Linked DNA regions of Astyanax mexicanus. The protein of the gene in region 1 interacts with the protein of each later gene in a pairwise test. Links are inferred from orthologs where the notes say so. Each region holds a gene or a part of one and is shown on either strand. Other genes may lie near its edges. The genes, in order: cep44 and pop5.

The links.
Region 2: the proteins of cep44 (region 1) and pop5 interact in binary tests that used the Homo sapiens proteins (3 or more experiments, as listed by UniProt). The two-hybrid records come from large-scale screens. The link is inferred for Astyanax mexicanus from reciprocal best matches to the Homo sapiens genes CEP44 and POP5.

Annotation. Positions count from the first base shown.
Region 1 is NC_064414.1:52,245,489-52,252,642, forward strand, and holds the start of cep44 (centrosomal protein of 44 kDa), read left to right. Parts: upstream 1-3,902; 5' UTR 3,903-4,127; intron 4,128-4,230; 5' UTR 4,231-4,242; coding exon 4,243-4,331; intron 4,332-7,154. UniProt on the Homo sapiens protein: Centriole-enriched microtubule-binding protein involved in centriole biogenesis. In collaboration with CEP295 and POC1B, is required for the centriole-to-centrosome conversion by ensuring the formation of bona fide centriole wall.
Region 2 is NC_064419.1:30,521,858-30,529,726, reverse strand, and holds pop5 (ribonuclease P/MRP protein subunit POP5), read left to right. Parts: upstream 1-4,646; 5' UTR 4,647-4,734; coding exon 4,735-4,754; intron 4,755-4,846; coding exon 4,847-4,989; intron 4,990-5,747; coding exon 5,748-5,897; intron 5,898-6,403; coding exon 6,404-6,487; intron 6,488-7,633; coding exon 7,634-7,755; 3' UTR 7,756-7,862; downstream 7,863-7,869. Other genes in the region: olfml2a (olfactomedin-like protein 2A), read right to left, coding at 2,512-2,586. UniProt on the Homo sapiens protein: Component of ribonuclease P, a protein complex that generates mature tRNA molecules by cleaving their 5'-ends. Also a component of the MRP ribonuclease complex, which cleaves pre-rRNA sequences.

The DNA.
Region 1 (7,154 bases):
AAGTTTAAAGGAAAAACATCTTTGGATAGGGATAAAAGGAGGACAAAGGGGAATAATAGGACAGAGGAGTGAAGGAGAGGAAGAAGGAAATGAGGTTAGAAGTAGTTAGTGTGTTAGAGGTATTAAGAGAGTAAGTGCTCTTTGGTTGTCAGTAGCAGAGGGAAGCACGAAGTGCTGTAAGATTTTGTGGGAAAACAAAACTGCACTGACTTTAGACTTGATAATAAAACACAGTGGATCAACACCAGCAGATGACATGTCTCTCCAAAACATCACTGATCATCAGTAAATTTGTCCAAAAAAAATATGATATACTTGTTATATATGAGATTTTGAAGGTGCCTTGAGCATAAGAAAGTAAGTTATATTTTATATATTATATGTAATACTTTTTCTATAATATAAGCACTATCATTTAAAGTTCTGTTATGGTTAAAAGAAAAGTCCCAGGATATATTATTGTCTTGAACTGGGCCTTTTTTATTTTACTTATTGATATTTACAAAAATCTATTATGTAATATCAGGTCTGTGACTGGTTCTGTGCAGCATTTTATATTTGTAGGTACCTTTAGGTAGTGTTTATGACTAAATTCTATTCTGACATATTGTATAAATAAATATTATATAATTTACTATCTGTGCTGTTAGACACTTCACACAGAAAACAACTGATTGAGGCTTTGTGAACAATCACACACACACTCTTCCACAGTTCAGTGTTTGGTGTTGAGTGTAAATACTGACTCAGCTCCAGCATTTTCCACTCAGTCACTCAGGTGAGTTTAGGCACATGCTGCTTACCTGTACCTCTACTTTTACCTGTCTGTGTACATCTATAGAGACCCAGAAAACACCAACAGCACTCCATTACTCACTTCTAGCAGCAGTACCCTAAATTTCACAATTCAAAATTACATCTTTTTTATAAAACTTAATTTCATTTAATTTCCAAACAATTCAAAACATTTTGGTCACATGTAAAAAATAAATGAATAGGATCTATGATTTAAATGAACTAGTCGGTTTCTATTGGCTTCTGGCACTTTGTATTTATATACTGGTTGTTTCCCATAGTTTCTGACTCTAGGGGTGAGCGATATGGTCATGAAATAATATTACAATATTTCTATTCATATTATAACTTCTTGAAGATATGACAAAAAAACAGAATAAAAATAAATAAATACAATAAAAACTAATAATAATAAAAAGTAACAATAATCATAATAATCATAATATGAGAATAATTATGAGGGTTGTCCACATTTATGATGAATGATGAAAAGATTTGTTCGAAAATGATTGGAAATAAATTATTTTTACAGTGACTTCCACTTTTTCAGTGTTTGTCCTGATATCTTAGTCATATTAGTTATTTTTTGTACTTTTGTAATTATGGCCTTTATTTGATTTCTTATTTTTTAAATATCTACTATTTTGAGATGCCTTGAATACAATGAATTAAATCATATTCTTATATATTATGTATTATTATTGTTCTATAATTAACTTTTAGTCCTGTCATATAAAGTTCTGTTATGTTTAAAACAAAAACAAGAGAAAAGCTACAAAATGACTTAAAATCAATTATTTTACACACAATACTTCTTTAATTATAATAATATTGGTTCAATTATAAAATTAACAACAATTGATTCAACTTTAAATTTACACACTATAACTTAAATCATTAAGCTTAATTAACTTATGTTTTTAGTAAAAATGACTCAAAATACGCTAAGGCAACATTTTTTCTCAAATTATTAGACTAAATGTAAGTTAATTAAACTTATTCAGGCTTTATAATGTGTTTTCCCTAAATTTGCCTACCAGCCTGGCTGCTCATCATTACGTAAGTTCACTGACAGCTTTTAAACTACATGTTTTTAATTCAATTTCACGTTAAAACACTTAATTTTAACTTTAAACTCGCGTTTAAACCCAAAATTTAGCATATAAACATTCACACTTTAGTTCTGTTTATGTTTCAAAGTACTGACTAATCGCCATCCCTCATCACGTTAGATTGCCGAACAAGTCCTGCCCTTACTCCCCGACGATTGGCTACAGCGCACATCAATCAAACCAGCGAGCTCTGCTATTGGCTGATTTAGCTGGCATTTAAAATTGTCATAGCTCCAGTAGCTGAACCCACCCACCTGTGTTTTTATGGCTTTATTTTCACCGCCGCCGCGACGAAATTCGTAACAGTTCACAGCAGCCGATGCGTGGAAATGTCCTTCAGCCCCCAAGCTCAGATAAAGCGCGCATTTCTTCCCCAGAAGCTCCAAAAACGGCTCAAAACCCGAGCAGGCTGAATCCGCGGTCAGGTTTATAATCTCCTCCACCGCTCAGAGTCTCTCAGTGCTCAGCCCCGCCCCTCCCATCATAAACCCCGCCCACTTTCTCTTTCTCCTTACTTATTTTTATTTATTTTATTATTTTTTTTATCTTTAAAGTGCTGGTAAACAGCCATGTGTCGTTTTTTTCCATCAGTAATATAAAGTATTTGTTAAAAATAAAATAATAAAATGACAAATATAATGCAGTGTAAAAACGAGTGTCGTCGTCACGTTTGACGTTTCTTGTTGTTGGTGGAAGTGACGCACGCGGATCAGCACGTTTTGGCAGGGCGTGCTAAAGAACAGCACTTTCGATAATAATTTATATTATTTATATTTATTATTATTTTCATTTTTAATTAAAATGTTAAATGCATTTACAATCAAATACATCATAAATAATGTAAAACATATATACAAATATTTAAAAATATATTACAATTCAAAAGAAGTAACTGAGAAGCAAATCTCACAAAGTGGCCAATAAATTATATATATATATATATAAAAAATAAAAATAGAAAAGTGAATTAGCTGGAAGATTAGAAGATTTCTTTAAGAGTCTGTAACTATCAACTGGTCACTTCATATGACGAGTATCTGTCCTGTATTTTGGTAAAATTTCAGCCACATGCATTTTGTAACTGACTTATATCACATTTTCTCTTAAAAAAGTGTAGGGATTAAATACATTTATTTAAAACGTTAATAAACTACACATAAAATTTGACAGAACACATAATACTTTGTTTTTTTGAATATATTTTTTCTTATCTTTTCAGGGTTGCTCATAAATAAAGTTTGACAGTATATCTAACTATAGACATGGCTACATTAGTAGTGCAATGCAAAAAAAAAAAAGCACAGTGAGAAAATGTTATTTTTTGTTATTTTTTGCTGAATAAACGAATCTTGGATATTGATATTCTGATAGATAGATATTTCTATCTGACTTTGTTTGATCGGCTAAAAAGTATATAAGATGAAGGACTCCTGGTGAAAACACGCCCATTCTGAATTTATTATTTATTATTATATTTTTTATTTATTTATTTTCCAAGCTATATTTCTGCACCCTATGCATTTTGCGAAGAAGTAATATATAAATGAATAAATAATTATATTTTTTTGTTTGTTTGTCCTTTCTTTGATTTTCGTTATAATAATATCTCTCTTGTCGTCTTAAAATTAAGTGATATATATTGAAAAGTATTTAAGAATGAGAAGAAACTATGTCTAAACTAATTTATAAAAAAAAAAATGTAATTCAGATCCAGGATGTAAAAATCCATGCCAGGATTTCGTTTCATCCGCCTGGACGGCTCTGCTGAAGCCCAGCTTCAGAAGAGCCGCCCAGGCGGATTGAACCAAATCCTGGCATGGATTTTTATAACTGTAACTAGTTAACTAGATAGCTCGATATACAGAGAGGCAGATAAATAAAAAGATACTTTTTTGATATCATATTGAAATAATCGTATGATTTATATGCATATATCTATAGTATATTTGTGATTAAGAACTCTAAAATCCGTTTCTAAAATCCGGTCCACTTTTTTCAGCTAGGAGGATGAATGTGCGGCTGTGAAATGATAGCTAAACAGTTTTAAATCCGCTGTGAGCGCGCCTAGAAACAAAATACAAACAAAATAAACGTCTATTTATCGAGTTTAAACCCGTTAAAACACTTCAAAACTCGTTAAAACTCTTTAAAACGGCTCAAACAACCGCAAAAAGTGGATTGTATACATACACTGAAGCTGCAACGCCTTGTTTTGCAAAGGTAAGGAGCGGAAATGCTCTAATATTAATATAAAAAAGCTGTATATTTGTGTTTAATAACGTTTTTCATTAGTTAATCGCTTTATTTCACTGTTAAACTGCAGGTAGACTGAAAAATGGCTACAGGTGATCTGAAGGGAAGCCTGAAGAAGCTGCAGACCTCCCTCAGATATCTCAAATACCCCAGAGAAGTGGATTATAACAGGTAATTTATTATGCCTGTTTTAATATGTTTTAATGTTTTTTCCTACATTGTAAATGAATACTAAAGTCATTCAGACTATGATAAAACATAAGTAATCTTTAAAAGTGTTAAACAAACCAAATTACCACTTTTTCTGAACTCTCTTGCTCTTTCTTTCCTGGGGCAGTCCTAATGAGTGCCAGTTCCACCATTTATTTTCTTTTGCCATTTTGCCATAATATGGATTAGAGCATTACTTAAACAGAGCTATTCACTGTATACCTGTAACTCTACCGTTTCACTACTTTACAACTGATGCTCTCAAACACTTTATTAAGAGACAAGAAATTCAAGTAATTAACTCTTGATGAGTTCAGCACAGCTGTTAACTGAAAACCTGAATTCTAGGTGACTCTACCTCATGAAGCTGACTAAGTAAATTTAGCCAAAATGTGCACTGACATTTTAGCAAAAGGTACAATATATATATATATATATATATATATATATATATATATATATATATATATATATATATATATATAAATAAACATATTCTGGTTTGTTTAACACTTATTTGTTTTGTTTTATTTAATAATTACATATGGTTTTCTTCATAGTTTAGATTACTTAATATTAATCTACAATATAGAACATGAAATTAGTGAAAAAGTACTGAATTTAAGGTGGGTCCAATTTTTTTGTTTGTGTGTACTAGGGGTGGACGATATGGCTCTAAAATAATATCACGATATTTCAGGGTATTTTTGCGATAACGATATACTTGGCGATATAGGAAAACTAAACTAATTCATTCATTTCAGGAATATAGTATAATAGTATAACAGTATATTCATAATGTGGCAAAATAAATAATATAGCATAAAATAATATAATGCAGCAAAAAATATTGCAGAATATTTAGTGCATGCATATAAACTGCAAACTAAAACAATTATACAATAAATACACAAACAATACAAAAATGTGTACAGAGATGGGTGATATGGCCAAAAGTTATATTATGAATACTACATCATGACAAGTAAAGGCATTTGTACAATACACAATATGTATCCTTTTTCATCACATAGAAAAATTACAAGACATTTTACAAAAAAAAAAATATATACTTTTTTTTTTTTATGCATGTCATCCAATTTAACAGGATTTGTTTGCACTATCCGAATTAAGTGTACTGGTACTCCCTGTAGAGACGTTTTTGCAATAGAATAGGGGGTATAAAGCCCTCAGTTTTGAGCTGTGGGACAGTGGTAGAGCTTTGTTTTCTGAAATGATGGAGCTTCATCTAATATTTAAGAAAGGGCGGAGTTGTGGAGATGGAAATCTCCACAAGAGATTCTCACAGCAATGCTCTAAAATGCAGCAGAATGAAAGAAAGCAGTGAGTTTTTAACTGATCAGTCTGTGTGTGTTTTGTAATTGAGTTTATAGCACATGTTCTGCTTCTAATGTTCTGTTCCCAACAGTGTGATTGCATCATTCTGATGCTGCACTTGTTGAGTAATATTATCCGTTCTGTCGTCCAGCCTGTAAGACTGTGTTCATCACAGAAACTCAGACTGTAATGATGATATAATGAGATTAATCCTGCAGCCCTGCCCGGTGTTGTGCTGAATTCAGTAGCCATGTGGACAGCAGCAGAATGCAGGAATGAAACCAATCTAACACAACTCAGCTCGTTTTCCAATCAGTCCAATAGGAGCCAGTCTAGTGTTGTGCCGAATTCAGCACCCCCGCCAGGAAAAGCACCCCCTCTCAGGAGTGCGCACTCATGTCTTCTTAGCTTTAACTTTATTTGGAAAATGGAAACACCCAAGATACTGTTGTAAGCTACGATGACTTGTAAAAAAAAAATAAAAAAAATAAATAAAATAAATACATGCCACCTGCAGCCTCTCCCTGAGAGAGGGTGCTTTATTTGGCGGGAGTGCTAAATTTAGCACCATAGTAGTGCCTAAATCTGCAGCCCCACCGTGAAAAGCACCCCTCTCAGCAGCGCATATGCGTTTTTTTTTTTTTTTTTTTTTTTGACAAAAAATGCAGAGATAATTGCTTTATTATTATTTAGAAATAGGGGGTGCTTTTCCTGGCAGGGGTGCTGAATTTGGCATAACACTAGACTGGATCAAATTAAACTGATTGGAAAACGAGCTGAATTGTATTATAGATTATGTGATTCCTGCATTCTGCTGCCGTCCACATGGCTGCTTGATTTGCAGGATGGAAATGAAATGATGGAATACTTGAATTTCCAACATAGACGTCTCGAATTGTGATTCCCCAGAAACTCCATCCAACCGGCACTAATGCCTGAAATCCAGCTCAGATTTACAACAAACACTATGGCAGCGGCGGTTTGGAGCTGAACAGAAGCTCGGACTGGACGCAGGGCTGACTCATATTCCCGTATTCCCACTGTAATTACACAGAGCAGATTTACTGTTACTGTAAATTACTGAAGTACATCTGATCTGCTGCTGCGTTCGTCTGCAGGATAATCGACTTAATGGACTACATGCAAAAAACCTTTAACTTTCACTATACAGCCAAATGTTTGTGGACACCCCTATTAAAGGGGAACTAAACTCAGCTCAAATTTAAAAAGGGGGAGGGGTGGGTGATGTATGGGTTTAGAGACGGTGCAGGAGGGAGAGCTGATTGGCTGAGCTACAGCAGCAGCAGTGTGCCTCTGATAGCAGTTAGACGCAGACATGTGATTTGTCTACCTACGAAAGTACACAGAAACTGTAACTATAGCACAGTTTAACCTGAGAGGGTGCTAAAGAGCCAGAAATCACCATAATAAAGTGTTTTTTTAAGT
Region 2 (7,869 bases), on another chromosome or scaffold:
CACTCTTAATTAACTGCTTAATTAACCCCTTACACAGTGAAATGCTGATTTCTACATTCTTTCTGAAGTTTCTCAGAAGAGAGCTCTTTGGATCTGGCAATGGTGATCTACTCACTTTGAGAACAATCAAGAGCAAACCAAACTAATGCCTGAGGTTTAAATAAAACAATCCTCTCTAAACATGTTGGAATCATTTGCAGCTAATGTAATATTACACATTTTAAGGACTAATACATGTAGGGGTGTCATTTTTTTCTCACAAGGCTACTGTATCTATTATCTATTAGTTACATTTTACAATTTATTTTTGAAAGATTTAATCAGTTTAATGTGTTACATTATATACTCTCCATCTCTCAGTATTGGACACCCCTTCTAGTAGATGCATTTAGCTACTCTAAGTTGTGCATATGTGCAAATTCACACACAAACAGCTTGTCTAGTCCCTATCAAGAAATATTGTAAACACAATACAATTCTCCCTTGAACAGATAAATATGAACCTGTTGGCACTATGCATAAAGCCAGACATGTGGACCAGGAGAACTGTGCTCTATGGAATGATAAAGCTCCATCCAATACCTCTTGAAAAGGTTGGGGAGTTGATGGGGAGATGAGGTGTGGTGGTGATCATCCAACATGCTGGCGCTCTTGTGGCTGAATGCAATCAAATTCTTACAGCAGTGCTCCTAAATGTAATTTGAAAACTTCCCTTGACAATAGAGACAGTCACTCCAACCAAAGCAGACTAAAAAAAAATTGATAATAACCAAACTGTGACGGCTGGGCAGCAGAGTAAGAACATCTCCAAAACTCCAAGCAGGTCTGGAATTAAATTTGTGTGGAGATGTCAGCATGTAAGCCTAAGGGTCCGTACTATAGCTTAAAAATTTGTTTCAGGCAGGTTACTGAGTAATGAGTCTAAAAATTAATCACTGACTGTTAAACTTACGGTCTGACGGGTTATGCCCCTCAGCGGGGGCTCATTAAAACAGGTGTACTTTGTCAACGAGAACGAAAAAAGCATTGATTTAGTGCCTCCACTATATATCAACAGCATGAAAATCCTAATCGACCCTTTCGGAATTCAGTAATGATAAACAACGACAGACAGTTTAACATTTCCCAGTCCCGTGTGAGACTGTTTCAAAATCCCAAATCTCAAATTCTTCACAGTTCACACACACTCCCACAGTGTTCTTTCCAAAAAAGAAAATAAAAGAAAAATAAAACACACACTTACACACTCACACCATTGCAGCCATAACTCACTCTCTGAGCGAACAACACACAATCTACACTTGATGCCCCGGTTGAGCACAACACTGGTTGGAGTGCCATTTTCTCATATTTACAAATTAACTCTTTCAAGCCTAAAGGCCTGTTTGTTGACACGTGCTTTAAACAAACTGCATATAAGTTTCATAACAGATTCTAAAAAAATACTAGGTATTGAATAATAAATATGTACAATTTCCATGTAGCTAATTATTAGTAAATATTCAATATTTAGTAGATAATAATTAATGAATACTTATGGGATACCTGGCAGTTGCTGAATAGGTACTATTCACTTACTAATTAGTAGTTACTCAATAATTAGCAAAAACTGACTAATTAGTTCTTGGTAAATAATTAATTTTAGCTACTGAAAAATAAATACTTACTGAATAAGTAGTAGGTGCCAATTAAGAAAGTACTAAATATTTACTCCTTATTCTGTATCTATTACTTGATAAATAGTAGAGACTGACTAATGAGTACTTTCTCAACAATTCTTACTTACTGAAAAACAACTACATTACAAATAATGAATAGGTACTTAATAAGAAGGTACTGAACTTACATCATTTTATATAACTACTATTCAACAATTAGTATATAATGAGTGTTTATTAAATAAATTATTTTTTCTTTGCTAAGTAATTACTTACAACTGAATAACTGGCAGCTACTGAATAAAATGTACTGCATAATTATTACATGTTACATCATTGCTAAGAATTACTACTTATTGGATACTTAGTAGGTATCAAAAAAGAAGGTATTATTATTGCATAACTGCTACTCAATAATTACCTAATTGTTAGTGAATAATTACTAATAAATTATCAACTTGTATGTACTGAATAAAAGTACTGTATAATTATTACTTATTATTACTAAATTATTGAATTATTGAAAGTATTAAAAAAGTAAATGCTGCATAATTAATACTTAATGGAATTATTGGTATTTACTCAATAATTAGTAGGTACTAAATTAGAAGCTGCTAATTAATCAGTACTTACTGATTAGGTAAGTAGGTGTGGTCTTATACGTATGGTATTAAAGCCCAAAAGCAAGATTTCAGTGGATTAAATAAACTTGATGATGCACGTGCACAGTTGCAGTATTTAAATGCAATGCTGAGGATTGCATTTTAACATATTTTAGAGAAGCATATCACAAAACACACACACACACACACAGTGAGAAAACAGCAGTTAATGTGCTGCTGCATCTTCTTACCTTACTAATAGCGATGGCATGCTCGATGAGCGCGAGCGCGCACACGCACCTCATGATATTCCTGTATATCCACATTCTGCCCCCAGATGAGTGATTTTGTGCGTGTGTGAGCTGCAGTCTGCAGTCCGGCGACTCTCACGCTCACACTCTCACGCTGCCATGACAGAAGTGCGCCTATGTGCGCGCACTTGTGAGTGTGCGCGTGTGTACAGTGCGCGATCTGCACCCTGCGGGACCAACAACCCACGCCCATTTGATGTTTCTTCCACAGGACACGCCCACTGCACGATACCTTGCCTCCCCCTCAATACTGTCTTCTGAGGGACCACTTAAGACCTTAGCCTACAAGACACGCCCACCATACACTATTAGGTATGATGCTAATTCCGAGAGCATGCATCATGTGTTTACTTTCCAGTCAGAAAATCCACTGAGTACAAGTACCACTAACAACTACAAGACCACCAAATAACCCCCTCAGATAACATGGCAGTTCAAGTATTCGAGTTTGTGAAAGACGCTCCAGCTCCACTTTCATTTCAGATCTGAAAGCATCCACTAAACAGATGATGGGCTGAGTAGCTCCTAACACTGAGAAAAGCGAACTGCAAACTGCTAAAAATCTCAGAATAATATACAGAAAGGATCTACCATGAAAAAATGCCTGGCCAAAAAAAAAAATGTCGCCACCAAAAAAGGTCACACACTCTAATATTTCATTGGACCACCTTTAGTTTTGATTACAGCAAGCATTCACTGTAGCATTGTTTCGATAAGCTTGTGCAATGTCACAAGATTTATTTCAATCCAGTGTTGCATTTTTTTTTTTCTTGCAGCATTGATAGTAGAGTCTGGTCACTGTGCAAAGCCTTCTCCAGCACATCCCAAAGATTCTCAATGGGGTTAAGGTCGGGACTCTGTGGTGGCCAATCCATGAGTGAAAATGATGATCTCATGCTCCCTGAACCACCCTTTTACAATTCCAGCCTGATGAATCCTGGAATTGTCATCTTGAAATATGGCCATTCCATCAGGGAAGAAAAAATCCATTGATGGAATAACCTGGTTATACAGTATATTCAGGTAGTCAGCTGACCTCATTCTTTCAGCACATACTGTTGCTGAACCTAGACCTGACCAACTGCAACAACCCCAGATCATTTGTTTAGATAAATCCAGGTGGCAACTTTATCTTGGTCAGGCAGTGTATATATCCTTTGCTTAAACACGGGTAAATTAATGAAAAACTCTGGCAAAACATGAGAAGGTTCAAAGAATTACTAACCGTTTTAAAAATTGGATTGATTAAATCTAGATTTTGTGACACTTCATAAATGTAAACTGATAATATCATATTTGCAAAAAGAAAACAGTTTTTTACACATCAAGATCCGACCACATAAAAATGAATCTGAGGTTTCTGCAGGATCTGTACAAGACACAGCCAATATGCATTTTTAGATTCTGTGCTAATGTTTGCTCATTATGGGTGTACATTTCAGTCAAAATGTGCACTAATTACAAATACATGGGGAAATTAATAACACATTAACAAGACATTTAAATAATTTCGAATTAATAAAATAAGTAGTACATATTAATCACATATTATTATTTTTTTACTGTAGGTTCAGTACCACAAATGAACCTGTGCAAAAAAACTTCCTAAAAACTATAGTAAACCAGTGTTAGGAAGCCTTTAGAGGTTCATATATCTGGTTCCTGTGTTTTATACCAAACCGTTTTATATGTATGTATATATTTATAATTATACACAGTACAGTACATTTTCAGTTTAGTAGCATATTCTTGGACAGGACATTTTTCATCTAACGAACAAATTACATTAAAATTCATTTCAATAATTATTTAGTCTGGTCCAAAAAGTTCCATTTTATTTTATTTTTGCTCTTATGGCGCCATCTCTCGGAATCTCCTGAAAATGACACCCCATATAAATAAACAACAGCGTCAAATAAGGACTTTTATTTTATATAAAATATGAACCAAGAACTTTAGCTAAATATTATACTTTTAGAGACCTAGAAATGAGTAAAAATCAAGCTGAGCGTTGAACCTTAAACGATAAACGTGTCTGAACGGTGTAATGTGGACCGCGTAAGCACCGCCTACTTTGTGCAACATCGAATTGTGATTGGTGCAAAAGCCCACACGTGAAAGCGGTAAAGCGTTGGTCCACGTGGTTCCACAGAGAGCAGGAAGATGGTGCGACTTAAGGCGAGGTAAAAAAAACGTTTTTATGAAAACATGTTAGTTATTTCAGGATGTTTTTAGGCTTTAAAATGACTGTAAATTGCCTGGTGTGTGTTTGCAGATATCTGTTATGTGAGGTGTGCATGTCCGAGAGGAGCATGCTGCGGCTGCTGGAGGAGAAGGATATTTTCCAGGCAGTAAAAACAGCAGTGACCACAGCTCATGGCCAGTATGGGTTAGCGTTGTTTAACATAGGTTCTGCAGGTCAGTACTGCATCACCATACTTCTCCAGTTCCTCTTCATCTTTCTTCACTATTTTATTGCGTTTAATAAGTTTTATAATTATGAACACCTACTCAGCTCATTACGAAGAGTGTATTATTTGATTAAATACCTGTACTTGGCACGAGTTTGTATTTAAATGGCTTTTAAAGTTTTAAAAAATCTGGCACTTTAGGTGCATTTTAACGCATATTAAAATATTGACACTATAAGTTAAATATTGTAATATGTAATATGTGTACTATCTCTAACATGTCTAGTTAAAAAGTTTAAGAGAGCGTTACAGAATTTTACATATGTGTCTAAGATAAAATCCTTTATTAATCCCGCGACGGAAATGTACAATGTTACAGCAGCACAGAGGACCAAGCAAAGGAAGTAGCATGAATATACAAGCAATATATATAAAATAAAAATAATAAAATTCATAATAGTAATAACAATAAATAGATTATAAAATATTACTCATTATGCATATTGCACATGTTGGTTGTAAACATACAAACAATGATCCACAATTTAAAAAATTACACAATGTAAGGTAGGACATTGGATGTAGGGTGTGTGTTTGTGCATTTGCACCTTTGTGTCATAAGAAATTGTTTTGTGTAAAAGCACACCTTTAAGCAATACTGAGCTACTGTTATAAATGACCTGTATTTAGGGGTGCCTTTTTTGTGTTCAGAATTTAAAAGCATATTTAACAACATGTATGGATTCTGCTGTTGTCTCATTTCAGTGAGGTACGTAAATGCCTACACTGGGGTGGTCATGCTACGTTTCCGGAAGGCCCACTATCAGCTTCTCTGGTCTGCCCTTCCCTTTATTACAAGTATCTGGAAGCAAGGCCAGAGGGTGCCGTGCTTTTTTAATTGCATTCATGTTGGAGGTAAGTAGTCACCTGTTTCCAGTTGGTTTCACTTTGCACCAAACTATACAAATGGTTTGTTTATTCGTCACAAGTTTGACAAAACTCACAGTATAGATACCTTCAGTTACTTTTGTTTGTCATTGTAAGTGCCAAAAGACCCACCAGTAATAGCAGACCTGTTGATTTAGTATGTCATCTTAAAATATATTTGATCTAAATTATATCTAAATGACTAATTTTAACAAAAAAACTTTGTTAAAAGTATAATTGTAAATTAATATACTACTAAAGCTTAAACACAAAAAGCAATAAAGAAAACATAACAAAATGTCATGATTGAAAATGCTGGTACACTCTTAAAAATAGATGCTATTGAAGAACCAAGGTTCCTCATGGAAACAAATAGGGTTATTCCTGGGCATCAGACAACGAACCCTTTGTATCATATGTTAATGGTTTGATTGCAATCAGATTTTTGTATTGATTTTAATCAAACCATTCTTATTTGCTCTCCAATTCCACAGGTACCATCAGAACATGCCAGAAATTTCTCATTAGATACAGCAGACAGCAGCTATTTCGAATGCTACCACATTGCAAAACAGAAGGTAAAGTTATCTCTTCAATTATTATATTAAGGATTATTCAGATTGCTTTGACAAATCATTTATAAGACTACTATTTGGGTGTTTGGTCATTCTCAGCACTGCAGTGATTGTAGTTGCATGGTGGTAGCGTGTTTGTGTGTGTGTTGTGGTCAGCCGCAGCAGTGTTGCTAGAGTTTTTAAAGACTGTGTTCACACACTGTCCACTGCCCACATGGCACTGCTGGATGACAATTCTCAGTCTAGCAGTGACACAAGATACGCCACCACCATGTCAGTGTCACTCCAGTACTGAGAATGACTTACCACCCAAATAATACTGCAGGGTCCTAACCATTTAAGATTAGGGTGAAAGGGAGGGTAATAAAGTATGCACAAAAATAGATGGACGACAGTCTGTATTTATAGACCTTAAAACTACTCCAATTTGCTTGATTAGTATTTCAGTGAAATGTTGCACAATAAAGTATAACTATCAGTATGACCTGTAACTACTAAAACCACTGAGTTTTAGTTATTAGGCACTTCTGCTTGTTTGTAATGTCTTTGTTTATTAAACGAGGAACAGAATAATGTTGTGGGCATTCTGTGGTAAATTGACACCACTTTTTATGTTAAAAAGTACACAAGTAAAAAAGAGATTTGCTGCAATCGGACAATTTAAGTTGCAAATTGCAATGTTCTATTCATTGCTATGAAATGAGTGCCCCAACTTTCTTTTTTTTAATTATTATTATTATTATTATTTTGCTATTGCTAAATGTAGTTGCAGCAGTTTGTCTATATGAAGCTGCCATTTGCTATTTATTTTCTTTATCAAAATACTGTTAAAAAACTAAACTAAAATAAAGTGTAATGAAAAACAATTAAACAATAAAAACTAAATACAGGAAAAAAATATACAAACTGTTTCATAGTGACCTACATGTTTCTATATTTTTATATGGTTTAAAAGCTCAGTTATTCTGTCAGTGGATCTGGTTGTTCCAGTTTTATAGGCCAATTTTATAATTAAATTAATATGTAATTTTTTTTAACGTTAATTTTCTCCAACATCCGAGTTACAGCACAAATACAGATATATACTCTATGTACTAATAAAAAAGAAAAATTAAAAGTTTTTTTATATCTATCTGTCCTTTGATGCAGCTGAAAAACAGCAGGTGAGAAAAGCAGTTTTGAGTTGTTCTCTAAACCAACTCAGACAAGACGATGATGACGACGACAATGATGACTATGATGACGACAATGATGATGATGATGGAAAATGAACTGAAGAAAAGACCCAGCTACCATAGTTGCCATTCAACTTTCTGTTCAAAAGAGAAGGATTATTTGAGTTTATTGCATTACAAAATAAATTTTATATATAATTCAGCATCAGG